Neodiprion lecontei: one gene and its partners. The protein of the gene in region 4 interacts with the protein of the main gene of each other region in a pairwise test. Links are inferred from orthologs where the notes say so. Each region holds a gene or a part of one and is shown on either strand. Other genes may lie near its edges. The genes, in order: PDZ and LIM domain protein Zasp, protein phosphatase 1 regulatory subunit 16A, protein kintoun and serine/threonine-protein phosphatase PP1-beta catalytic subunit.

Region 1 (4,622 bases), on a different chromosome or scaffold from region 4:
TTGCCAGAATTTTTTTTCTTTTATTCAAGGCGGAATAGCGTTCCACCGATCGCTGTATGAAGACAAGGCTGGACACGTGCTGCGGTCTGTTTAGCCGATTCAGCAATTAAATGTCACGAAATTTTATCACCTTGGCACTGTGACACGACCATCCCTGACAATCTTTATATCAAAACACACGGCGCGTCTTGTATTTTATATATACCTAGCGAAAGCTTTGGTAGAAAATTCTTGGTAACACTAGAAAATATTGAAAAATTTGTAATTTTGAAAAAGTATTATTATTTTGTGAAATTTTTCTTCTCAGCTTTTTTTTTATTAGATAACGCGTATTGTACAATTAGGTGTATCTGATATCTGTAGATATGCAGGTGTAATAAATATTCAAAATATTTTTCCGTAAATTATTTACGAACGTTAATATGCATGGGTGGATCACGAAGCATTAGCCACCCTTTTGGAGTAAAAATTTCGATTCGGATATTGAAATTTGAATATATTATAGCGTACACTGAGATATGAAAATTCTCCAATTGTCAGTTTTTTAGGCCTGACCGTTTTGTAGAAACACATTGGTCAATTTTACTTCTTCGAATTGGCACCTTTGTCTTAAAATTTTTTGCACTTTTAGTCGTTGAAAACAAAATTTGACGCGATGGGCACTTCGTCTAAAAAACGTTGTTATTCCCGAATGTGAAATCTGTTTTAACGTGAACCCACACGATGTACCAAAACGCGTTTTCCTATCACTTTGAGCTCTGTGATACGTTAAGTTAAGCGGTGACTTCTCATCGTCAATCGCATTTCTTCGGATTATGTATTACAAACGTTATAAACTTAATTAATGGTGCGAAAATAAATGAATTCGTAGAGGTAAGTTAAAAATTTGCATTACGAAAGTGTAACATACGATTAAGGAGTCGGAGGAATTCGTTGTGGTAAAAAAAAAATTTTCAAATAATTTTTAGGCAAGATTAGTAATGGTGGTTTACTCTGGGGTCAAACCTTTCGACAACAAGCTTAACAGATTCAGACTTTTGGAGGAGATGCTGCGCGTCGACGTGACGCACATCTCTGGCGTCGTAGTCGTCGATTTTCTTTATCACGTCACCCTTGAGGAGGTCTTCATTCTCCGACTGAAACACAAAACAAAACTCAAATTGTGGGTCTTGGGTTAAGCGATCGACCAATTGTTCTCACGTCAATTATGGCTAATAAGGTCGCGAGTTGTTAAATCGTCACATCGCATCGGTTCCATACGGGTTTAATGAATTTTCATTCGTCTTACGCTAATTGTGAGTGGCTATCAATGTTTACCATATTATCCTCACAAGTGCTAACTGAAGTCAACGATTGACGGAGTAAATGTGATTGTTGTTTTATCATGGAAATTAATTTTTCCAACACTCGCTGGTAAGTTAAATTTTCAAAGCCTAAGGAGCGTGCCTGAAGTGTCTCATTTACGAAACAGTGCGATAAAACAACGTTGGCGCATGCGCGCAATTAAAAGGCTACATTTTATACACTAGAGCTTTCTTTGGCACATGCCCATTTCATTTGACGGTTACGGAAGTGTACGCTAAATTCTGATTGAAAAAAAACAAATAGTAAGCATTAAATGAAATGGTGCCCGACTACCAGCACATTTATGCTATATAATAACTAGAACATATTTACTTCTTATTACCAGACGTAAGAAGCCACGTAATATCACACGTTAGCTTATAAGACTTACATGAATATAATTACAATCGACGTAAAAAATATTAACCTTCGATCAACTGAATTTCGAAAGTATTGCTCTCCCTGTTATACCTATGATTTAATCTGATCATACATAACTATACATATTAGGGTGTTTTAAAAAAACATAATTTGCGATTTTCCATCAAGGCACCCTCTAAAAAGTTCATTTAGGTCAAAAGAAAGATTCAGTAAAAAGATGAGCGTTCTACGTTACGTGGAAGATCGCGCTCAGTTGATTTTTCACTTTTACACATTTTTATAAACTTATGAAGTATCGTGAATGAATCTTTTTTTTTCTTATTGCTTACATCCATCATCATAATATCAATTTACGTCACAAAGAAGACCCACACTTGTGATATTAAGTCGCCAGTTGATGTTTGAGAAGTGTACAGCAAACGATATTTTACATTATTAATTCAATATCTCATAAAATAGTTAAAATTTAGTATGAACTTTTAATTCAGGAGAATAAGATTCTCGGTTGATATTTTCTTGCGTTGTGGATCGTGATTTCAGGCTCGTATATAAATGTCAGGAAAGAAATAATGATTGCAGTGCTGCAACGTGTTTATTCATAAATTCAGAAAAAATGTGAAAAAAGTGAAAAATAAATGAGCGCGATCTTCCACATAACGTAGACCGCTCACTTTTTGACAGAATCTTTCTCCTAAGCTGAACAAACTTTTCAGCTGATGCCACGGTGAAAAATCGTAAATTATTTTTTTGTAAAACACCCGAATACATACCACCTATATTCATACTTTATACATACGGGCGCATTTTTGGTAAAATCACTCACGAAAGTGAATGATTACCATGCTTACGAATGATCGTGTAGTGATGAAAACTTCTTCGCAACTGAGCAGATTTGATTTTTTTACCCCAATTTTGTTAATAAAATAAAAAAAAATAAAAAAAATGAAATGTAAAGAAATTTGAAACTCAATCGCACGGATATGCACGAAAGAACCTTCAACTCACCCGGGTGACGATGATAGGTGTCCCTAAATCAACACCACCAGCTATACGAAAGCCCCAAGGCTGATCGCGGTCCCTTCGCTTTAGTTTAACAACGACAGTTTGTTTCTTGCTGACGGTCATGATGTTTCGGCAACAACGATGCAGCAACAAGGAAGAATGGGAATCGGATCTGATTGGAGTCTACAGAATTTCGTTGCGACAAAAGTAATCTCAAGCTCGCGAAGAGATATCAACGTTGATCAAGTACGGCCCAAATGCTGTTATACGTCAGGAGCTTCTGGTGAACTGCAGACGATCTCTTGGGTTGACTTTGACAGGGCTAACCCAGTCTCCGCGTGCCTAGTTGCTCAACTAGTTTTGCCCTCATTTGAAATTGGCATACGCTTTGTACTGTTTTGGCTCTGCACTCCCGGCGCCGGACTTGATTCTCTTCTACGTGCATATATTTACTGATATAGATAAACAATTTTAGACACGTAAACACTAGGGTGGTCCAAAAAAATCGACTATTATTTTATTTCTTTCAACGACACACGTTTAATAGTCATACCCTTTAAAGTTTATATTTGGTGATTCCTGAACGCAATCATTCATTTTCCATTTAATTAACGCGCGAAAATAATTTTAGTCATCTCTGAATTGTGTAGCTCAGTAACGAGGCAACGGAGATAAATTTGAGCTACGTATTTTTGTAGGGAATTCAATGCTTTACAAAAAAGGTCTCTAGTAATTTTTTCATAACTCGACAGTTTCAAAAGTTATTCAAAGTTGACGTTGAAATCGTGTAAAAATTCACTTTTTTTTTCCGAGATTAACAGAGAAAATACTAGAGTTATCACAAAATGTTGTGGATTTTTTTCGCAAAGCATTTCAGCCGCTATAAAATCATGTTATTCAATTCAGTTGTTTATTGTCTGTGCTCTGATAAATTGAAATGTGTAGAATAAGGGTTGAATTGCACGCAGCTTTGCTTTCTTAATGCATGCCAGACAGTTTATTAATTGGTCGAACGTTTCATGGTGTACCACCTTTTCTACCAAAAACTAAAAATAACATATATTTTGCTCAGCAAGTATGTTCGCATTAATAACGAACTTAGTTAATCTAAGGGATGTCCTGGAAAAGGGTTTTTCTTTTCAGATAAGCACGCACCAATCATGAGTGAACTGTTTTTTACGATGCGATGATAGAATGTACATTTAAAGTGTTTTTGTGAATTTCGGAGTTTTAGCTTCGGGCACTTCCAGCTGATCCCGAACAAAGTATTATTATTATATAAATAAGAATTACGTGACTTATGCTATTACCAAAATATAGCCATAAAAGTTTTTTCAGCGGTTCGTCAACAAATTCCTATATTTTTTCAAAATTCTCCGTAACGTTTTTCAACAAAGATGACAAAATTAAAAGACAAGTCGACAATTGTTTCCTTTCAAATGCTACAAATTCCTTCTAATTCTGAGAAAAAAAGTCAAGAAGTCTCGTCACCCTGAAATTAAAAAAAAAACTTTGTACTTTCTAGAATATTTCAAATCAAGGTTGACGGTAAATAACTCGGTGACCGATTCTTAAACCGATGGTGACATCCCACGTTGATATCTCTACGCAAGGTTTAATGCCTCAGAAGTCGGAAAAAAATTCGAGTTTTCAATTGTGCGGGGGAAGTGGCGTTGACGGTCTTTACGACGCAACGTACGACTGATATTTTTATACGGATAAACTTAGATACGTGATCCAGAAATTTTTGTACTTACCATTTTTATTAAAAATATTCCATGTCATAAAAGAGATATCATGTTGTATTCTACAGTTACAAATACTTTTACACCGTAGAACGTCGATTACCCAAACGAAAAATATGCGAATCGTTGAGTTTCCGAATGGCGATTCAG
Region 2 (5,042 bases), on a different chromosome or scaffold from region 4:
AATTGAGTACAGTTTTTTCATTGTGAGAATGATAAAACATTGAGATTTCTTCAAAGCCATCAAAAGATCAGCTAGTTTAGATGAAATTTTTGATTTAAAAATTTTTTTTTCTGTGTTATTGTATCAATGAAATTTAAATTGATGAACTTTAATTGCATTTCCAAACCTTCGTTATATGATATTTCCGTCTTCACAGCTCTTTCACTGTCGTGTATGTCTGGTACATCCTTAAAGAGAAGCGTTGGAAATTTCTAAGTTGTCTGGTCGTGTCTTGTCCAAGAAATTGGCAGAAACAGTAATCGCAAAAATGAAAGTTGATAATCCTCAGAACGGCGAAAAAGTATCGATAGAGGGTGTCTAGTGTGTCATGAATTGAAACAATTTTAGTCAACTTTGGATTCTTTTACCATCTTAGAAATAGTTCATTCGTACAGAATGGAGAAAATTATCTCATTTATGAAACACAACTAACTCTAGAGAGGGGGAGAGAGTGTGAGAATCGGATAGTTAACCTAAGACGGGATAGCCGTAAGCCTCGATATTCTGAAAAATCTATAATTGTCGAGACAATTGAAACAGTACACGTCGTTTTCTACAAATGAAATATACATTAAATTACATGGGTTGAAATTTTTCTTTGATCTGTGCTGAATTTTAGTCCTTTTATGTCGTCACAGATAATTTTAGATTCTTACCGATAACAGGACTGGTGACTAGTCACTTTTTTCAGTCTGTCATTTCGTCATATTCAGCATAAAATGATCGGTCAGTGCGCTTTTGTTGTTGAATTAGTAGCGAATTCTAATTGTAAATTTGAATATACGTTACATCTATCCCTGCACATTTAAATTTCAATTCTCTAGCGAGAGTAATGAAACTTATCGCTTACATGAAATTTTACGCGCAGCTTCTAAGAACCGTAACAAACAAACGTTTTTATAAAATTATCTTATTTTTGTTTCATGATTCACCGCTTACGTGAATATTTGAGGAACAAATAATTTCCTTGAAACATTACTACTCGAAAAAAAACAACTATTGTCCACCCGTGTCAAGTAATATTCTATGTTAGTAAATTTGGCAATATGAAACGTATTATCGCCTAATATAGATATTCTACATGATACATGAACTAGGAATTAATTATCAAGAATAGTAAATAGACGTAGCAAATGCAAGTAACGACCTAAAGTTTTCTCATTGAATTGAATTCTTAGTAAGTTTTTTGATTGACACTTGCTAACAGAAAAAACTTGATTTTTCAAATTATGTAATTTTCTGTTCCTTTGAAAATATATTTGTTTCATAATGTTGTGCATCTTCAATAGAAGTAATACATAGTAAGTTACATTTGAGGAGAAATCAGCAACATTTTTTCCGCAACTCTGAAATCATATGATTCTATACTTTTTGAAAAAATATTACTAGTATTTTGTCGTTACTCATAAATTAATTCTTCCGAAATTAGTTCGTCGGAATTATAATACTGATTCATATACTTGATACTAAACAAAATTGCAAATCAATGATGTAACATTTAGCCATAATTTTACCATTTTATACTCACCAATAGCTAATTAGGTTTCAATCACTTTTCACAGAAAAAACTTTTCTAGAGTAAAAATTAAGTGACGGTCATTTGCTTTATGATCTTTTGATTTACATTATCTAAAAAAAAGTACGTCACCATCAAGGTGATATTTATTCGATAGTCTTTACCGTTTTCAACCGAGACATGTTTTAAGGGATAACGAAGATTGAATTAATTAATACACTTGGTTTGGAAAGTCTATGCGTATTGCTTAGTTATGCAAAAAAATCTGCATATTTTCATTTCTGTGGTATCTCGAATCTTTGCTACGCTGCTGCTGTGTCTTGCTTGTTTTTCACAAAACATTATCTCGGTCTTGTAAACCTTACGCAGACAAAGGCAGCTTAGTAAATAAGTATAAATATGTAACTCGGTGAGACTGGATGTTGACGTCGTAGATGCGTGATGAGAGTCAGGCGCGATGTGTATGATAGAAGAAGGCAGGTCTACATCAGCCACGCACCTACTAACAACGAAGAGAATCGTTATAATTTTTTCAAGTCATTATTGAACTGTGCAAAGTAAGGAATAGTGAATGTGACGAGAAACCGACGCTGGTTTTTATAAATAATCCAGAGCAAAATGATGAAGAATAGGGTTCACCAGGGAGCAAGTTGCTTAACTAAACTTGCCGGCAAAGCTCGCGGCCGCAAAGGTATTTGCAAACGTTGATTTGTAATTTCAATCACAATATAGCTTCACCGTCACCGCTTCTCATTCGCTAAAGTTTTATTAATTGTTTTCGATACTTTTACGTGAAAAATTTGTGTGGAATCAAGTCGGCTGAAATGAGACCATCTGTTTCTTTCTTTCGTAAACCTTGGGTTTACTCATAGAAATGTTGAATTATTGTCAGGTTAATAAATGTATGTAGATTGGAAAAAATTGTCCCTTTACTACATTTGAAAAACGTGATCTTCAGATTTAGAGGTGGCAGCGGTTTGAAATTTATGATAAGGATTCAGGACTGCAATAAGTGTAGCAGTCATTTTAGTTCAGTATTCCTTCGGAGGAGAATAATCAGCGGAATGAACATACGGTGCAATTTAAGGCCGTTACATAACATATTTTCGGTCGATGTACTTTTTCTCCGATGTATACGAATCTATCCGCAAGTTTTCTGTGTGGGTAATAATTTTAAAATTATTTTCAAACCTGGAAAATTACCTTGAAAGTATGTCGATAGGAAACAAAAATGAGCAAAACCGATAACTGTTCACTAAAACACTTTTATTTTAGTCTAATTATCCCTTAGAAAAACCTAAAGTTTCTCCATTTTAACAAGAAAGGTTTCCGATGAAAATTCAGCCAAAGTAAAAGCCCATATCTGATACCTTTTTTTTGTCTACTTTTACAACCTGTGCCTCATTCCATGTCATGTAAGCTGTCGCCTGTTGAAATATAGTGCTGATCTCATTGCGATTATATATGTTGTCAAGGTTTTAAGAGATTTGAATAAAGTGAACTAAAGATGACATTCGCTTCTGTTTCGATGTACTAATGAAAATGTTGTGTTTGAAATGTACGATTTTGATGGTAGTTTGCTGTCTTTATTGATCATTTTAATATTTCCAGGTAAATATAGCTGCAAGAGTTCCAAACAAACCATCATGGAGCACTCGGACTTGGTAGCAGAGATGATGCACATTGAGAGATTGACGACTCAGGAACGACTCCATTTGGCACGTCATCGGAGGCTGCAGCAGCTGAAGCAATGGCGTCATCGAGAAAAAGAATGGCTCCGTCACCAGAATAAACACCCAAGCAATAAACGTCACATATTTTTTAGCGACAGCGTTATGCTTCTAGAAGCTGCGGCTAGAAACGATCTCGACGAAGGTAGTGTAGCGAGGCAAAATCCTTCCTCGCCTTTGATTTGTTTCTCTTGATGTATTATGAAAATGAAAAGGACAGAATTATCAATGGGACAGTGTATATTTATATCTATTGAATATATCTTGCGCCCATTAGTGAGAAGGCTTTTGAAGAAAGAGGTGAATCCTGATTCTACCAACGAGGATGGATTGACCGCGCTGCATCAATGTTGCATTGATGACAATGAAGAAATGATGAAAATACTCGTTGAATTTGGGGCCAACGTCAATGCGGAGGACAGTGAAAAGTGGACGCCACTTCACGCTGCTGCGACTTGTGGCCATCTTCACTTAGTACGCTACCTAATTGCGAGGGGTGCTAACTTACTGGCCGTCAACGCGGATGGAAATATGCCGTACGACATATGCGAGGATGAGAAAACCCTCGACTGCATAGAAGGTACGACGCTGAAAGATTTTGGCGAGGAAATTCAAAAACGTCGTCGTAGTCGATTTTAATCTTCTTTCTTATTAATGAAAATATATTTTTCAGGTGAAATGGCAAGACGCGGTGTTACGCAAGAATTAATTGACGAAACTAGGGCTGGAACTGAGGTGCAGATGTTGCGAGACCTGCAGAAGATCGCAGCCCAAGGTGGTGACCTAGAATATACCGATCATCAAGGTGCTACACCTGTGAGTACGCAAAAAACGTGCGCTACATTCAGACATAGTGAATTTGAACTCAAAAAATCTATAGTAACGCGTTTTGTTCAATCGTATTGTCACTTTGGTACCGTGAATTAACGTGCAACAATTTTGGAAGTAAGATTAAGGGTGTTATTTACCTAGAGTGCTACTAGAAATTAGCATTGTCTTAGAAATTGCGCAAACAAGAAGGTAAATACGAAGGATCGTCTATGTGGTACAACTCAGTTGGACCTAGGCAACACCTTTAATTTAAAGTTACCGCTTTCCATAATCGTATCGTCAAGAAAACTTGCTACTTATAATTATTTTTCATTACAGCTTCACATAGCAGCAGCAAACGGGTACCTCAGAGTCGTTGAATTTCTTCTTGATCAGCACGTTTCAACCGATGTTGTGGACAATGATAAATGGCAACCTGTTCACGCAGCTGCCTGTTGGGGACACGTGAGTGACTGTTGATGAAAGTTTTTTACTTAGAAAACTGTCAGCCAGTCTCACATTTAAAGAGACAAATCGTATTCTAATAATAGTTTTACCACAGCAGTTTTCTATCCCTTTCAAGTGTAATATATTTTATATTTAAATGCAGAAATGACAATTCAATTATTTTTGGCACGATCTTTACTGACAAATGTCTCTAGTTATAAATATTATTGACAAGTTTTTACCATGTGGTTTACAGCTCGAGGTGCTTGAGTTGTTGGTACACAATGGAGCTGACCTGAACGCGAAAAATAAACACGAAGAAACTCCTGCCGGTGAATAAATTGTACACTTTTCCTTTGTCGCTTGCAAATTCTGTTCACCAAGTATACAGATATGTTCTAAACTTTGGGGTTGGAGGGGGGCCAACGAAAAAATTAAGTTGTATACAATTGTCCACGCAGAGACAGATTGTATGTTCAGCTGACAATGAGCCAACGTGA
Region 3 (6,934 bases), on a different chromosome or scaffold from region 4:
CTTTTCACAATGTTTGATCACAGATTCGAAAATCATATAAGTTATCGTTAACATGTCTGTACATCCCGCTATACCATGTATGTAGATTTGCAGATACTGCTATTTGGATGTGTAGCTTTCATAATAGTCTCTTGCGAATTATGCATAGCCTGGTGACTTTTCGCAATCTCGCCGTGTCGACGACATTTGTTGTTACTAATCCTTACGATCCAGCTACGCGACATTTATGCGTGCAGCTAATGGTGCAGGAAACATGTTTGTCGGGTTGCCTTTACACGCCGCGTCAGGCGTTAATTTGAATCTCGGAAACCACTCAACTCAGACAACTGCGAACCGAACGATTATAACTGTGGAACGGTTGTCAGTTGCATCGTTCAACATTCGAAATTAGTCTAATCAATCGCACATTAAATTTTGTCATTGTCTTTGTTCAATTCTATTCTTAATTGCAGAATATTGTTACCCTGTACGCTCTTGTGCTGAGCATTTGAATGATACAAGTTTCAGGTAACCCTTATTTGCATAACATAACTGTTTATTACCCATTTTCTTCTCATGGATTATTACACTGGGAACAAAATATCCTTTTAAATCATAATATATAATTTTCTTTCGTATTTATAATACCAGGTATAATATATATTGACCAATGAATTTTTCATTGATCCCGTGCATGTAGAAATAATTAATTTAGCGTGTAAAATACTATTGTCTATCCCGCAGTACTATTATAAGGTTGAATACGGTTGTAAAGTTTAAAATTCGATATGTAGCCAAAAAGACTGTATTTGTCTATTGAGCAAAGTTCATCAAATTTTGCCTGTACCGTTTCTGATTTTACTTACAATTAACCGATATTGCCGAATCTCTAATGATCTCACTTTATACTTTGTATATTGTCTACAATTTAATTAAGTATAATATTTTTATACAAATCAATGGTGAGTGAACATTAGCTCCCGTTTAGTATGAAAGTGTATAAATTCGTGTAAAAATCAATAAACGATTAGAAATTTTCACTCTATAAAATAGTACGATTGATTGCATAATATTTAGTACGTGTGTATGCATGTTGCATTTAAAACTTTATCAATATATCTCAAACCTAGCCTAGCAGTCGTTAGTGAGCTATACAAGACGTACGTGAAAATAATAGTAATAATTCATCTCTCAGAAATCTTGTACTCGAACGTGTGAGAAAATTTGTGTTACTTTTTCCTCCCCACTGTTCAACTTATCTCTTGCTCTTACTTATCGCCATTGAAATCGAAAACCGTATTCTTCCCTATTATCTCATGGATCAGGTATCTACTTTCGATTGATCTCTTTGAACTAAGGTATACAAATATTATAAATTATTCAGAACCAGCCATCAAATGGAATTGCATTAATCGGAAAAAATTAAATATCAAGATCAAAAATTAAATCGTTCTTAAAGACTTCTGTAACAGCGTTTGTACCATTTTCATTATCATCATTCCAATGATTTTTCTCTGTACTCTCATCGTTTCGTTTACTGGAATGAGAGTTGTGATTTTTTTGATTTTCTATATCGATGTGCTCAGATTTTTTGTGTACCATCGATTTATCGTAATTTAATATTGGCTTCACATTTTCATGGACGCTATTTTCCACCGGGGTATTTTTAGGGCTAATTTTGTACTTTTCCGCACGCTCCTCGCTCTCGGAGTTTTCACTTTCACTAGTTCTACGATCGTGCGCACGTTTCTTATTGCGTAATTTGCGCTGGTTCTTCTTACGCTGTCCTAGGATACTTGAGTTGGATCTGTAAAAATTTGTAGGTTCCTGATTCACCAAGATTTATTTATTCAAAGATATTGTGATGCTTCAGTGCTATAAAAAAAGTTTGATGGAACAAAGCCAAGAATACAAGTCCAAGGAAAGGGAAGAGAAAAAAAAAGGGACAAGAATACGTTAAAAGACTGGCAAAAGATTACCTGTATAACTGGCGAGCGACAACATCATTAAAACGAACTGTCTTCTTCAAACTCGAACTTCCAGACTCAGAATTTATTTCTGGAATTGAGTCGGAATGGAAGTCTATAGAAGAAGCAAGCATAGCGCTATCGTCTACGCTCGATTCGGAAACCGAACGTGTAAAGCCATAATTACGACGGGACTTTAGTATACCCTTGGACCTGCCCGCGGGACCAGGAATATTTCCTAATTCATCACCGCTACTTTCTGATATCGATCTATGATCGTCGTATCGTGAAGAGTCTGTATCTTCGCGCTCTGCCTCATCGTCTGAGTCCAACTGATTTGGCGTTATATTAATCACAATGTCATCGCCTTCTCCCATAACTTCAATCTTCTTATTTGTTTGCAGACAAGGCTGAATCTGAAGAGGAAAAGAATGTCAATTTCAATTCACAATTGTTCAGTTTCAGGCTATTATCAGGGAAGTCAAGCTTAATCCTTACTGGTATATGTAAGAAACTATTACTGCATTCAAGTTTGATAATAATCAAAGCATATCTTCTTGTACAATTTCAGTAATAATTTCGCAATGGCTTGTGCAAGATTGTTAGCTCAGGTAGATTGATAATGCACAATTATAAAATGAAAAAATCAAGAAAGAAATTCTTATTTTACAGAGAATTGAACATGACGTACTGGTGAGGGTGAATAGGACTTTGTATATACACGTCAAAAGGTATTTCAATCGATAAGATAAGTATTATCAGTGCTAGACTAATGCAACATTGGATTACCTCCATGTGCTGTTAAATACACATACGTGCTGTGTAAAATTGAGCGAGATAATAAATAATCTATTACGCGAAAAGACTGGGTCACGCCAAAATCAAAACAAACAATGCTATCCTCGTTTTTTGCAAGTATGTTGAATCAGACTGTAATACACGTGTTACAAAATAGAAAATTCTGAATAATAAACAACTTGTAATGATTGAAAAAGTGTCAAGTAATACCTAGACCATTATTTCAAAATGTGTGCGAATAAAGCGTTTTAATAAAGTATGCCAAGCGTTGAATTAAATACGTTACGGACAGTGATAAATTTGATGTAAAGTAGCACGTGGCTCACCTAATTTACACAGACCGCTTTGACCGCAGAGGATCAAACCGGTTTTCGATAGGAAGAGAAAAGTATGATGAGCATAATAAATAAATGTTACCATAAGTTCATTGAGTTTATTTTGGAGGGAAACAGGGGCGAATAGTTCCCTGAGTTCCATAAACTCTTCGTCAATTCCAACGAAGTACTTGCTCACGTCTTCCCTGCAATCTTCCAAGGCAACGGTAATGACAACATTGTTATCCCAAGGCTCTATGACCAGTGATTCGGGACGAATAGATTCTCGCCCAGTCTTAAAGCACATAGAATAATAAACGGGAAAAAATCCAGCTCCGACCGAGGTGAGAAGCACATGAACGCCCGAATTCTCTTTCAGCATTTTATGCCGTATCGAATCAGGATCAACATTTTTGAGGTGGATAGTAAAAGCAAGAGTTTTATCATAACAATTACAGCTAAAGGCAGGAAGGGAATATTTGACATCAGGTTTCATGAACGCCGGCTCGTCAGGTACGCTTTTGTTACTAGTTCTTAGCGCGGTATCTTCCTCACATTCACCAAACGCACTTTCCCTGTCGATAACGGTAACCAGTGCCTTTTTCTCGGCTCCTTCATCATCGCCAGAGTCTGCCAAAGGGCTGCCATGATCACTGTCGACTCCACTGTCCTCCCTGTTGTCACAGAGCGGAACGACGCCCCTGAGAACAGGCAGAGTGACAGTGAGCTTCTTGTTTTTAGGGTCAAATTTTGCGCCGCCGTTGTCTGGATCGACACTGTACGGCAGGGGGAGTTGAAGCTGGTATTTAGCGGGTTTCTCGCTCTTCAGCATTACCAGCCGTTCTTGAACATCAAGGGTGGCGTCGCCGGCGCTTTTAAGAAGGGGGAGGTCGATTTCAACGACAAGTTTCTTGGGAATAGTTTTATGGAGTCTGGCATTTTTGTGATTATGAAAGTCTTGTATATCGACGCTGTCCTGATGCTTGACGACGAACTTTGGCGTGGTGTACGCGGGGCACTCGCTCTCCGTGCTCCTGCTCTCGTTGAAATATTTAGTCGAAGGCGACCGCCGCTCGGCCGGTTTGTCCATGGCTCGAAGCTGCTCCTCACGGCTCTCGTCGTAGCTGGTCATCAGCTTCTGGTAGATCTCCGGCTCAAGGTCAACGTCCGAGGGCACCGGCGGCCGCTCCGACTTCTTTCTGATCACCGTCGGCTGGCTGACACCCTTGAAGCTCATCTTGGGGAACTTGAGGTTGTTCCGGTCTAGCTTAACTTTAAAACTGCTCTCGACACCGTCCAACGCCGTCTGATTAACGGTCTCCCGGAACTTGGAATTCTTGCTGGCCAAGTGCAGGGTGTCCGGGTGGAACACCACGTCGAAGACGACGCACCGGGCGCTCTTCTTGTCGAGGTCATCGCGGGGGGGAGCCAAGGTGTGGGGAATGGACCACTGCAAACCCCGGCTACCACCCTCGCAGCTCGGCCGGCTCGAAGGCTTGCCGACACTCGAGCTTTGGCTTATGTTTACAAAGCACTTCCTGCTCCCGTCGACGCTTGTTTTTATTACGTAACCCGGCTCAGGGTTAACGAACGTCACGTCTACGCCTCTCTCTCTCTCCAGCTGCGCGATCTCCGACTGGTACAGTTTCTTGTTCTCGGGGTTCGTCACCTCCTCTGCGTAATCGAACAGGAGTTTCCGGAATTCCTCCTTCTTAAGACAGTCGGTTATCGTCTCTAGCTCTTCCTTCGTCACGTCCAAATCCTCCCAGTTCTTTTTTAATCGCGAGTTGTACACGGCCATCTTCCAGTAGATACTAGTGTTTGGGTTCGGTGCCTTTAATTAATTTAGCCACTGGTGCATAAGCATATATCTATATATATAATAGAGAATACAACCCAGAAGTTTCCATCCAATCCTTGCGCAAATAACCACGTGGACCATACAGATGTGCGCAGCTCTGCCGGCCGGCTGGTGGAATTTATACGAACTAGCCGATGATTTTTAAACGCGAGCGGGACGCGAACGCGCCGCCGACATTTACGGCTCGATGCGCGGACAAATTCTCTCATACATCGCGATTATTTTATTTGCGGAATTGCGTCCGTCAACTTGCACCACTTTTCGCTGTCAGCGATTTTCCACAAAGAGCAACGTCGGCAGCTTATCGTCGCTCCTGTAGCTGACGAATGCGTTATACGGTATAATAATATACAGTCGAGAACGAACAGGGTTATCTGGAATACCGATTCTACAATAGCTGTCTATAAAAGGAAACGAAGATTACAGTGAGAGAAATTTATAGTTCCGGTTGCAGCTCAGTCCTTAATTATTTTCACTTTTTACCACAATCGAAAAATATAGTATAAATATTCTAGGTACAAAATGAAAATTAATTTTGTAACTGTTAACAGAAAGTCTAGTATCCGTTACTATTCTTTCCCATTACGATCACTGTTACTATATTTTCTCGTAACTGTTCCGAAAATTTAATGCTTGTGCTGCGATAAGTTGATGTTAAAGCCTTATTGAACTAAAAAAGTAGAGTAAACCGAACAAACTGATTTTGCATTGCAATTACCAAAAAAGTATCGACAGTAGCGACTGTTTTTTTTCAACGATATCTGTTTTACTCTATTTTTCTAGTTACTATGACACATGAAATTTTTCTTAGTGTACATAAAATAAATAGCCAAAGCCACTTACAAAATTACTGAACTATGTTACATTTAAGTTAAGAAAAGAAGCAAATGCTAATCATTTATTTGTGCGGTAAATTTCAGCCACGTTGAATTGTTCTGTAAATACGATCTTGATACTGAAGTTTGATCTGGATCTAAACAAATTGAATGCAATTTAATTAAATTGGTGTAAAAATTATGACAAATAATAAATGTTCTCTACATGCATACGCTATACAAACCAAACATGTTCTTAATGCCTGCAACAAGGTTTCGGTAGTTATGTAATTATTTTTTTCTGACGTTTATCGTATGTAAATTGTATACGATGACTGACCGTAATAATTGGGTGTTTCGTTATCGAAATTGAAGATAGTTACAGTCGTAAAATTCGCTGCATCGAGGGCGAAACTGTAGTCACGTAAAGTTCATGCACAGAAATTCGTGTATTAATTATTTTTTGTTGTTTCTGACCACGTTACGTTACCCGAAGGATTATCAATTCGAAAGTTTCCACTGTAGTAAAGCAATAACATGCGCATGTATACAAAGGTACTTCTTAAATCGAACATTCCCTCTTTTATTTTCTGCTGAGGTCACATCACCTTTCCTCTCTAAAATTAATAACCTATCATCCTTTGTACCCAAACGTAATGTCGATGGTAATCCGATTATGAAATTGCCCTCGGGGCATCTTTGCGACTAACAATGAGTCGTTTTCGCAACTGCCGGGCACGAGAGCACCATGTTACGATTGAATTTATTCTGCTCAAAGCTGAAATTTGCAAAAATTAAATAAGAAATTCAGCATCGGTTGTGGCAACGTACATTAATTATTCGACGTTCATTTGAATATATGATTTTTTGACGCGGTATTTATTAAGTAGAAGTAAAATCGAAATATAATCACGAACAATTTTCTCGATCAATTATTACGTTACATAAGTTTTGAAAAATTCATAGGTACCACGGTCATTCGTTCTCAAATAAATGAAAGTGAAAATGAACGCCCGTCATTAGACCCATAAATTTTTCACAACTCATACGAACTTCACGGTGCCGCAGTGGAGGAAAAAATACATGAGTATGAATTATCGTGCGTTCAGAACAGTTTGGCGTAAGTATAAATCACGTAAGGATTTCCGATCTTACGGAGGAAGAAGGTGGGGGCGGTGGGTCAGGTCCATAATGCGGAGG
Region 4 (7,282 bases):
TTCAATAGTGAATGGTGATTCTGGTTCTATGTCAGCGCCGTGTCTCTCCTGGCAAATGTCTATCATGCAGGCTAGCAGATGTATGCTCCGCGAGCCTCCTGCATACAATGCTTCGCAACTCTCGAGGACTTTTTTATTTCGCCCGAGTCCGCCTTCACCATCGTGCTGCAAGATGCTAATGAGAAAAAAGGCGAGAAAATAAGCAATGTCAAAATTTTACTTGGCGCTTGGTAGTTCGCAATCAATACTTGCATGAACTGTCACATTACAAGTGAATTTTTTTCTTTCCTCATTACCAGAAATATGTAAATCAATGTGACTATATTTTTTTGGCTACAGATACGAACCCTCTAAGATAATTCCATGCACTTTCATTCCCCTTGACTAGCTCGATTTTCTTCAAAGTATAATCAACTTCTCGTTCAATAACATGCGGCTCAAACTTTGTTGTATTATTCAAGACAAAGTAGCGTTGATTCCAAGCAGAATTATTTCTCACGTCGGCGTCCAGCAGTTGCTCAACATATTCCAACTCTCCGTCAAACAAACTGGCAATTGAATATGCACGTTTATTACTCTAGTAAGCAATTTTTTGTGCTTGAACAGAATACTACTTACGCTAAGAAAAATAAATTCGTAAAAAATACTTGCTTGAAAGTTTTTATAATCCATTGGCGATGCTGCCACGCATGATAATTCTTCGCATCCTTTTTCAGTACATTTTCAGTCAGAGCTAAGTCCAAGCTTGGATCTTGGAGCCATTCCACGATTACCCTCCGGTGATGCCATACTTGGTAGTTTTTTGGAGTTCTTCTAATCATTGTTTCTATATACTTGAGTTCGTTCCAGAGGTTCTTGTCCAGTGCTTTCAATATCTCTCTCCTGTACTGCCATACCGTATAATTTGCTGAATTCAGCGTTATGCAGTCCCCCGTTAAGTTCAGAGCTCGCTCAGACTTTTCGCCAGACTTCAGAATGGCTCTGAAGTAATCGTATGCATCTTTGACTGTGAAAACGGTTTGAAACTTGATAGTTTTTATCAATTCAAATCGAAATTTGCATGATTCACATCGTCGATTTTGCGTTGATCTCAACTGTTTATAAGCTAAATTATAATAGGTTACATCCACATTGTGGACCCACCTGATCGGTTATATTCTGAAAGTTTCGTGATTCGAATCTGACGCATAAACTACCAAGAAATAATTGACGAAACAATTGAACGAATTGAATATTTAAATATCTTACATGTTTCGGAATAGGCAATCGCGACAATTGGGTGAGGTCCATCATCCTGTGGAACAGGCGTAACGTCCTTCCATTCATTTCTGTCCCTGTAGAAAACCCAGGTGCTCGATATTTCTTCTTCTTCAGAAGAGTCAGACATATTTTCACCCGGCAAACGTGGTCATAAGAATTTTAACTAAACCCGCTCGACTTTAGCTATCGTCCTCTTTTCTTAATCCCACCCGATTTCTACCCGTATTCCACGTTCGGGTCCTACTGTATAATCTCACCGCATATCTCACAACCGCAAAGCCGCGGTCGCGAATTTCAGTGCTACCAACTTAGGTTTAATAAACAAAATCAAAGTCATGCGCATCGACATATAGGTATATGTCCGTGGTCATGCGTTCCCAGCCATCGAGGCATAATAAACAAAATTGAAGCGGTGCGATCCGAAATTACGCGTGACTTACAGAACACTATCGTATCGGTCTATTGACCATGAAATAATCATACAGAAGAATTATAGAGACGAATTATAAGGCAAAATTAGAGAATGTTAGGTAGAATCTGACAAACGGAACTGCGTGATGTGATATATTTAAATATACCGTAGTGGAGTACTGGATAGCATACGCGCCATTGAAAATGTGTATACATGTGTAGATGGCGCTTATAATAGTTTTCACCATGGTTTTACATACAGACCGTGGTTTTCACGAGTGAAAAATGTCAGAATCAGGACCCAGTATCGGCAGTCAGTAACCTCGGTTTCGGAACACACGTTGCGTCGGGATTAGGCCGAGTGAAGACTTCGGAACGCGCGTATATCGCAAGGTCAAGAAAAAGAAGTTAGCGGCATCTGGTGAGTGCTTGTGAATGTAGTGTGTGGTCGAGGGTCAAGCCTCCAGGGCGAAGCGCCTAGTGGAAACAAGGAACTATAGATCTACTTGTTCCGACAAACGACTTCCTAGGAGTTGGGACCTAGAGTAGTGCAGAAAAAATGGCGGATGCGGACTTGGATATCGACAATCTGATACAGAGATTGCTTGAAGGTACGTCTAAAATATAATATAACGATACGGATGTCATGGCCAAAGTAATACCGTCTATCGCATCTCTTTACTAACATACGCCGAGCCTTTATTTCCCATGATATTTCACGTTATAATCGTAAACCAATTATATGCTGTCTAGTGTGTTTTCTATACTAGCAATGAAAAATATCACTTCTTTCCTATACTCTCTTATCTCTTCTCTTTCTTCCCACATTACCGCTACTATTTCTCAGTCTATTCGTACATTATTATGAAAGAAACGTCGTTGGCTCACTCCACACTTGTCAGCTGTTTCCTATAACAGAGAAAAATTGGAAATAAACGACTAATTGTTGTCTTAACGGACACCGTTTGTCGGTATGGACACATCGTATATTGATTTTTTATTTGTTTTCGTAAAATTTTCTGTTTTTTTTCTCTGTCATGCTAACCGTATTTGTGGGGATGATCTTTTGCGGTAAAGTATATCAAACGCAGAAAGAACAGGTTCAGAAAAAGGCTAAACTTAAAGACATTTTTACCTCAGACTTTGTCGGTATGCCAATTTATTAATATATTAAAAAAAATTTTTTCTCATTGTTAATTTTTTCTTTTTTATTTCACCGTTACCATTTACCAAATGCATCCACATTAATTGTTATCGATATATCTATCAGTTTGCGTTCTCACACTATTGAATGCAACATCAGCACCAATCCTCCCTTTTCTTCATGTATCAATCTCGTATTTCGATACACACGGTCGAGCTCACACAAACCTTACACAGTGAAACGCTCGTCTTGAGAACAAAGTTCCATACCACTTCCAGCAATATTGTTTACCTTGCAAGATTTGCTAAATATAGATTTTATACTCCAAACACCACGTGGCTTTGCTCGGATTAGACTTGGGCTTCAAATTAAATTCGTCATCACCAAGGGGAACTAAATCTAGAACTATGTTTGTACGTTCTTGTCTTGCGACATTCATTTTAGTCAACTTCAGCAGTATATTTCTTTCAATATCTTGCCGTCGCTCTGTTAATTATCATTTTTATCTTTGTTGCTAGGCGCATGTCTTGTCTATATACATAAATTGCTAGTTACGTTTTCTTTCTATTGATAATTACCATCAGATGTAGTCCTTCTAACATTTAAAAAAGAAGAAAAAAAAAAACAATAGGTAAGAACTCGAGCTCTGCATAACAGAGAACTTGCTAAGTGCGGTAAATTTTCATTGCAACATGACAGGAAAACAAAAAGATTAGACTTTTATCCACTGTTCGCATTATTCTATCCAATAAGTACAGGATGTAGTGTCATTGGTGATACGACGACCTATCTATACATTTTATTTCGTAATAGTTACAGTCATCGTCATGCAAAAGTGATCCAACTACACTGCATAGGCCTTCAAAGTCGTCTATAAATAACAAATTAACACTACCAAGCTGGAGAACATCTGCTTTATTTTGATTACGTCACTGTAAATACAGTCCATCTAAACTTTGCTTCGTTAAATTTTGTTTCTTCATTTTGTTTTGAAGATATTCTTTAACGACGGCGATCAACTAGTTGCTTATTCTTCGAAAAGTAACTAACTGTAACACAATATCCGACAGTCATTTCTAGCTTGTATAATAAAGCACAGAGAATTTTCTTTTCTTTTTATTACGTAGGTAACAGAATATTTGGTCACTTAACTTGTGGGTAGTATTCCAGCACTCCCCCCTGATCTTGAAATACTTTTAGCAACATCTCTTGGCAGAATGTCACCACACTTTTGCATAATTACTTTTTGATTTCCTTTCTCTATCGTCGTTCCAGTATAAACGCAACGGTACTGTATAGTTGTAAATTACCAAACTGTATAGATAGATAGTAACGTAGTTATACATCGTAGAAAATAAAGATCCCAAAAAAAGATTTGATTAAATTAACCCTTTTAGCGTAGCATTTTGTAAAAAGTTAGTTTTCGGCACAACAAACTATTAAAGCCGTACAATTTATATCATAGTAGAGAGCATCAACGTTCTATGAAATCATAATTCATTCATTGTTAAACTTGCAAAGCTGATGTTGAAAAAATAAATCTGCCTCGATGTTATGACTCTACTAGCGAATACCGCTGACTATAAACTCGAAAATTTTGGACACAGTGCGAGGATGTCGACCTGGGAAATCGGTGGTAATGACAGAGGCCGAAGTGAGAGGCCTCTGTCTGAAATCGCGGGAGATATTCCTTCAGCAGCCGATACTACTGGAGCTCGAAGCACCGCTTAAAATATGCGGCGATATTCACGGCCAGTACACAGACCTGCTGCGGCTATTTGAGTACGGCGGATTTCCTCCAGAGGCAAACTATCTCTTTCTAGGTGACTACGTCGACAGAGGCAAACAGTCTCTGGAAACGATATGCCTGTTACTCGCCTACAAGATCAAATACCCAGAAAACTTCTTCTTGCTAAGAGGAAACCACGAATGCGCCAGCATAAACAGGATATACGGATTTTACGACGAATGTAAACGCAGATATAATATAAAACTGTGGAAAACCTTTACCGATTGCTTCAACTGCTTACCCATCGCCGCTATTATCGATGAAAAGATATTCTGCTGCCACGGCGGACTCAGTCCTGATCTCCAGGTGATTATTTAATTCGTATTTTTGAGAAAAGTTTGAACACTTTTCAGGAAAAGTTAGATGCAAAAACAAAAATTACATCAAATGATTAAACGTAACGAGTAACATTGGTTTTACAGGGAATGGAGCAAATCAGAAGAATCATGCGTCCAACCGATGTTCCAGATACAGGACTTTTATGCGATCTCCTTTGGTCTGACCCCGACAAAGATGTTCAGGTGTGTATAAAATGTATTAGAATACGCCGGGTGTAGCAGGATACAGCGTGTTACCTGTCTCTATTTATATCGTTGTGTAATAACTTATCAGATGGTTCGAAGCAACGGTGTACAGCACACGACTGTCTAAACACGCCTACAATGTTGATTCTGAGCTGCGTCCAGCAAGATTTTACAATGCGATGTAATGTGAGGCTGTTTTTCTCTCCCGCAGGGATGGGGCGAGAACGACAGAGGCGTATCTTTCACATTCGGACCTGACGTAGTTTCCAAATTCCTAAGTCGACACGATATGGATCTCATATGCAGAGCTCACCAGGTCGTCGAAGATGGTTACGAATTTTTTGCTAAAAGGCAGCTCGTCACACTTTTCTCAGCTCCGAATTACTGCGGGGAATTCGACAACGCCGGCGGAATGATGAGCGTCGACGAAACTCTGATGTGCAGTTTTCAGGTAATCTTCACTTTTCGTTTCTTATTCACCAGCGAAGATGACCGATTACTTTGATGCCCCTTTTCTACATTGTTCGATTTAAAATAAAAACAGATCCTGAAACCTTCTGAAAAAAAAGCAAAATACCAGTACAGTGGAATGACTGCGCAAGGTGGCAGGCCATCTACGCCGCAGAGGAATCCAACAAAAAAGAAATGACCACCTTTCGCTGATCCCGCGTAGCAGCAAACACTTTCGTTCTAGGTAAGATGATTATAGAGAGAGAGAGAAAAAAACAAACAAGTATATTAATAAATATCTAATTTTTTATCTATTCAGACTGAATGATTTACGATGCAAATACTGTGAATACTTACGTCACATGATAAAATCGATCCCTGTGAATATAGAACACTGCAACAGGCCTCCTAAACGTCTTAGACTCGATTTGCAAAAAAATTTAAAAGAAAACGAAGAAAAGTTAAACTCCACTGGGAGACCTGCCATAAGTTCTCTTTTGATCTTTAGCTATTTTTCAGCTGATAGAATTTTCATCGCCTTTCAATGAATAACGCGTTTTACTGAAAATATATAACGCCGGAAAGGAGGCAAGGGTTCAGTGACACATATTGAAGGAAGTAACCTAGTCTCTACAATTATAATTAAACAAATCAGATTATATTTATTAAATTATTGTTAATAATTGAATCAGTGGCAGTTATAGACGATAATCACGACTCATGAATCACTGCGGTGAACGATTTGAAGAAAAGTATATAAATAGATGGGAGGAGCTTTAACTTACATTGAACGACGACGTCGGACGTTTTCAGTTAACTTTTCCGTGCATTGATCTCGCTTTGCTTTAGTTTATAAAATAACATTACCTCTTTTAAATCCAAAATTAATCAGCCATACTGAGTCCTGAAGATTCCAGAGACATTTAACCTGCTTAAATCCTAAATCATACCAACAATGTGAGTAAAAGTTGACCGAAATCCGTAGAATATTGGACTTGATTTTATTTTTCTATATGTTTCAGCTGTGGAACGTGTCACTACAGTATGTACACTAACTAAAAACTCATAATTCAAAACGAAACGAAATAAAATGAAAAAAAAAAAATAAACAGAAAACTTGAATACTTAAAACGGGAAACGACATCTTCCTTATTACATCTCAATTACACTATTATCGCAGGATGCTTCTTTGTATAAAATATCGATCAATATATACATTTTTTTTTTTTTTGTTCCTCTAGTTAGAAAAAGTCACTTTATCGACTGCCCAATTTGTTTATAAGGTGAACAAAATCAGCGAGTTCCGTCAACATAAGCACTAAAAAATAGCACATGTACTTCATATACTTGCTACCATTCTCAGTAACAGTTATTCATTTTCTCTTACATGATGATCGATCCTTTTCTATTTCACTCATTTTTGCGTTTAGCAGCATTTTTACTCCTAATTATTTATTATTACTATTTGTTCGTTCAATTTCGACAGGCAGGTTTATATATATATATATTTTTTTTTTTTTGCCTCGTCCTAACTTAATTATTGATAAACACTCAGCATACACAAGGAACGCCATACATACGACTATACCTTCGTGTAAATTATTGTTATTATTATCATCATTATCATCGTCATCATTGTTATTAATAATGTTATCATTATTATTATTATTGTTATTATTATTTTAATTATTATTACCGTCGGAA

Evidence for each region.
Region 1: the proteins of serine/threonine-protein phosphatase PP1-beta catalytic subunit (region 4) and PDZ and LIM domain protein Zasp interact in a two-hybrid assay, tested with the Drosophila melanogaster proteins (2 studies listed by BioGRID). The link is inferred for Neodiprion lecontei from reciprocal best matches to the Drosophila melanogaster genes flw and Zasp66.
Region 2: the proteins of serine/threonine-protein phosphatase PP1-beta catalytic subunit (region 4) and protein phosphatase 1 regulatory subunit 16A interact in a two-hybrid assay, tested with the Drosophila melanogaster proteins (2 studies listed by BioGRID). The link is inferred for Neodiprion lecontei from reciprocal best matches to the Drosophila melanogaster genes flw and MYPT-75D.
Region 3: the proteins of serine/threonine-protein phosphatase PP1-beta catalytic subunit (region 4) and protein kintoun interact in binary tests that used the Drosophila melanogaster proteins (3 or more experiments, as listed by UniProt). The link is inferred for Neodiprion lecontei from reciprocal best matches to the Drosophila melanogaster genes flw and Nop17l.

Annotation. Positions count from the first base shown.
Region 1 is NC_060263.1:21,718,509-21,723,130, forward strand, and holds the start of PDZ and LIM domain protein Zasp, read right to left. Parts: upstream 3,019-4,622; 5' UTR 2,851-3,018; coding exon 2,731-2,850; intron 1,402-2,730; exon of another isoform or gene 1,387-1,401; coding exon of another isoform or gene 1,318-1,386; intron 1,137-1,317; coding exon 1,006-1,136; intron 1-1,005.
Region 2 is NC_060261.1:27,895,493-27,900,534, forward strand, and holds the start of protein phosphatase 1 regulatory subunit 16A, read left to right. Parts: upstream 1-2,027; 5' UTR 2,028-2,173; coding exon 2,174-2,246; intron 2,247-3,166; coding exon 3,167-3,430; exon of another isoform or gene 3,431-3,475; intron 3,476-3,562; coding exon 3,563-3,865; intron 3,866-3,958; coding exon 3,959-4,101; intron 4,102-4,434; coding exon 4,435-4,560; exon of another isoform or gene 4,561-4,568; intron 4,569-4,784; exon of another isoform or gene 4,785-4,798; coding exon 4,799-4,874; intron 4,875-5,042.
Region 3 is NC_060261.1:38,946,997-38,953,930, forward strand, and holds protein kintoun, read right to left. Parts: upstream 4,985-6,934; 5' UTR 4,860-4,984; coding exon 3,162-4,859; intron 2,363-3,161; coding exon 1,959-2,362; intron 1,787-1,958; coding exon 1,402-1,786; 3' UTR 515-1,401; downstream 1-514. UniProt on the Drosophila melanogaster protein: Required for cytoplasmic pre-assembly of axonemal dyneins, thereby playing a central role in motility in cilia and flagella.
Region 4 is NC_060265.1:28,570,614-28,577,895, reverse strand, and holds serine/threonine-protein phosphatase PP1-beta catalytic subunit, read left to right. Parts: upstream 1-2,009; 5' UTR 2,010-2,230; coding exon 2,231-2,282; intron 2,283-2,748; coding exon 2,749-2,820; intron 2,821-4,422; coding exon 4,423-4,910; intron 4,911-5,026; coding exon 5,027-5,125; intron 5,126-5,339; coding exon 5,340-5,579; intron 5,580-5,672; coding exon 5,673-5,777; 3' UTR 5,778-5,822; exon of another isoform or gene 5,823-5,897; 3' UTR 5,898-6,753; downstream 6,754-7,282. Other genes in the region: protein farnesyltransferase/geranylgeranyltransferase type-1 subunit alpha, read right to left, coding at 1-175, 348-548, 652-1,006, 1,249-1,387. UniProt on the Drosophila melanogaster protein: Required for cell adhesion in non-muscle tissues and in maintenance of muscle attachment. Vital for larval development.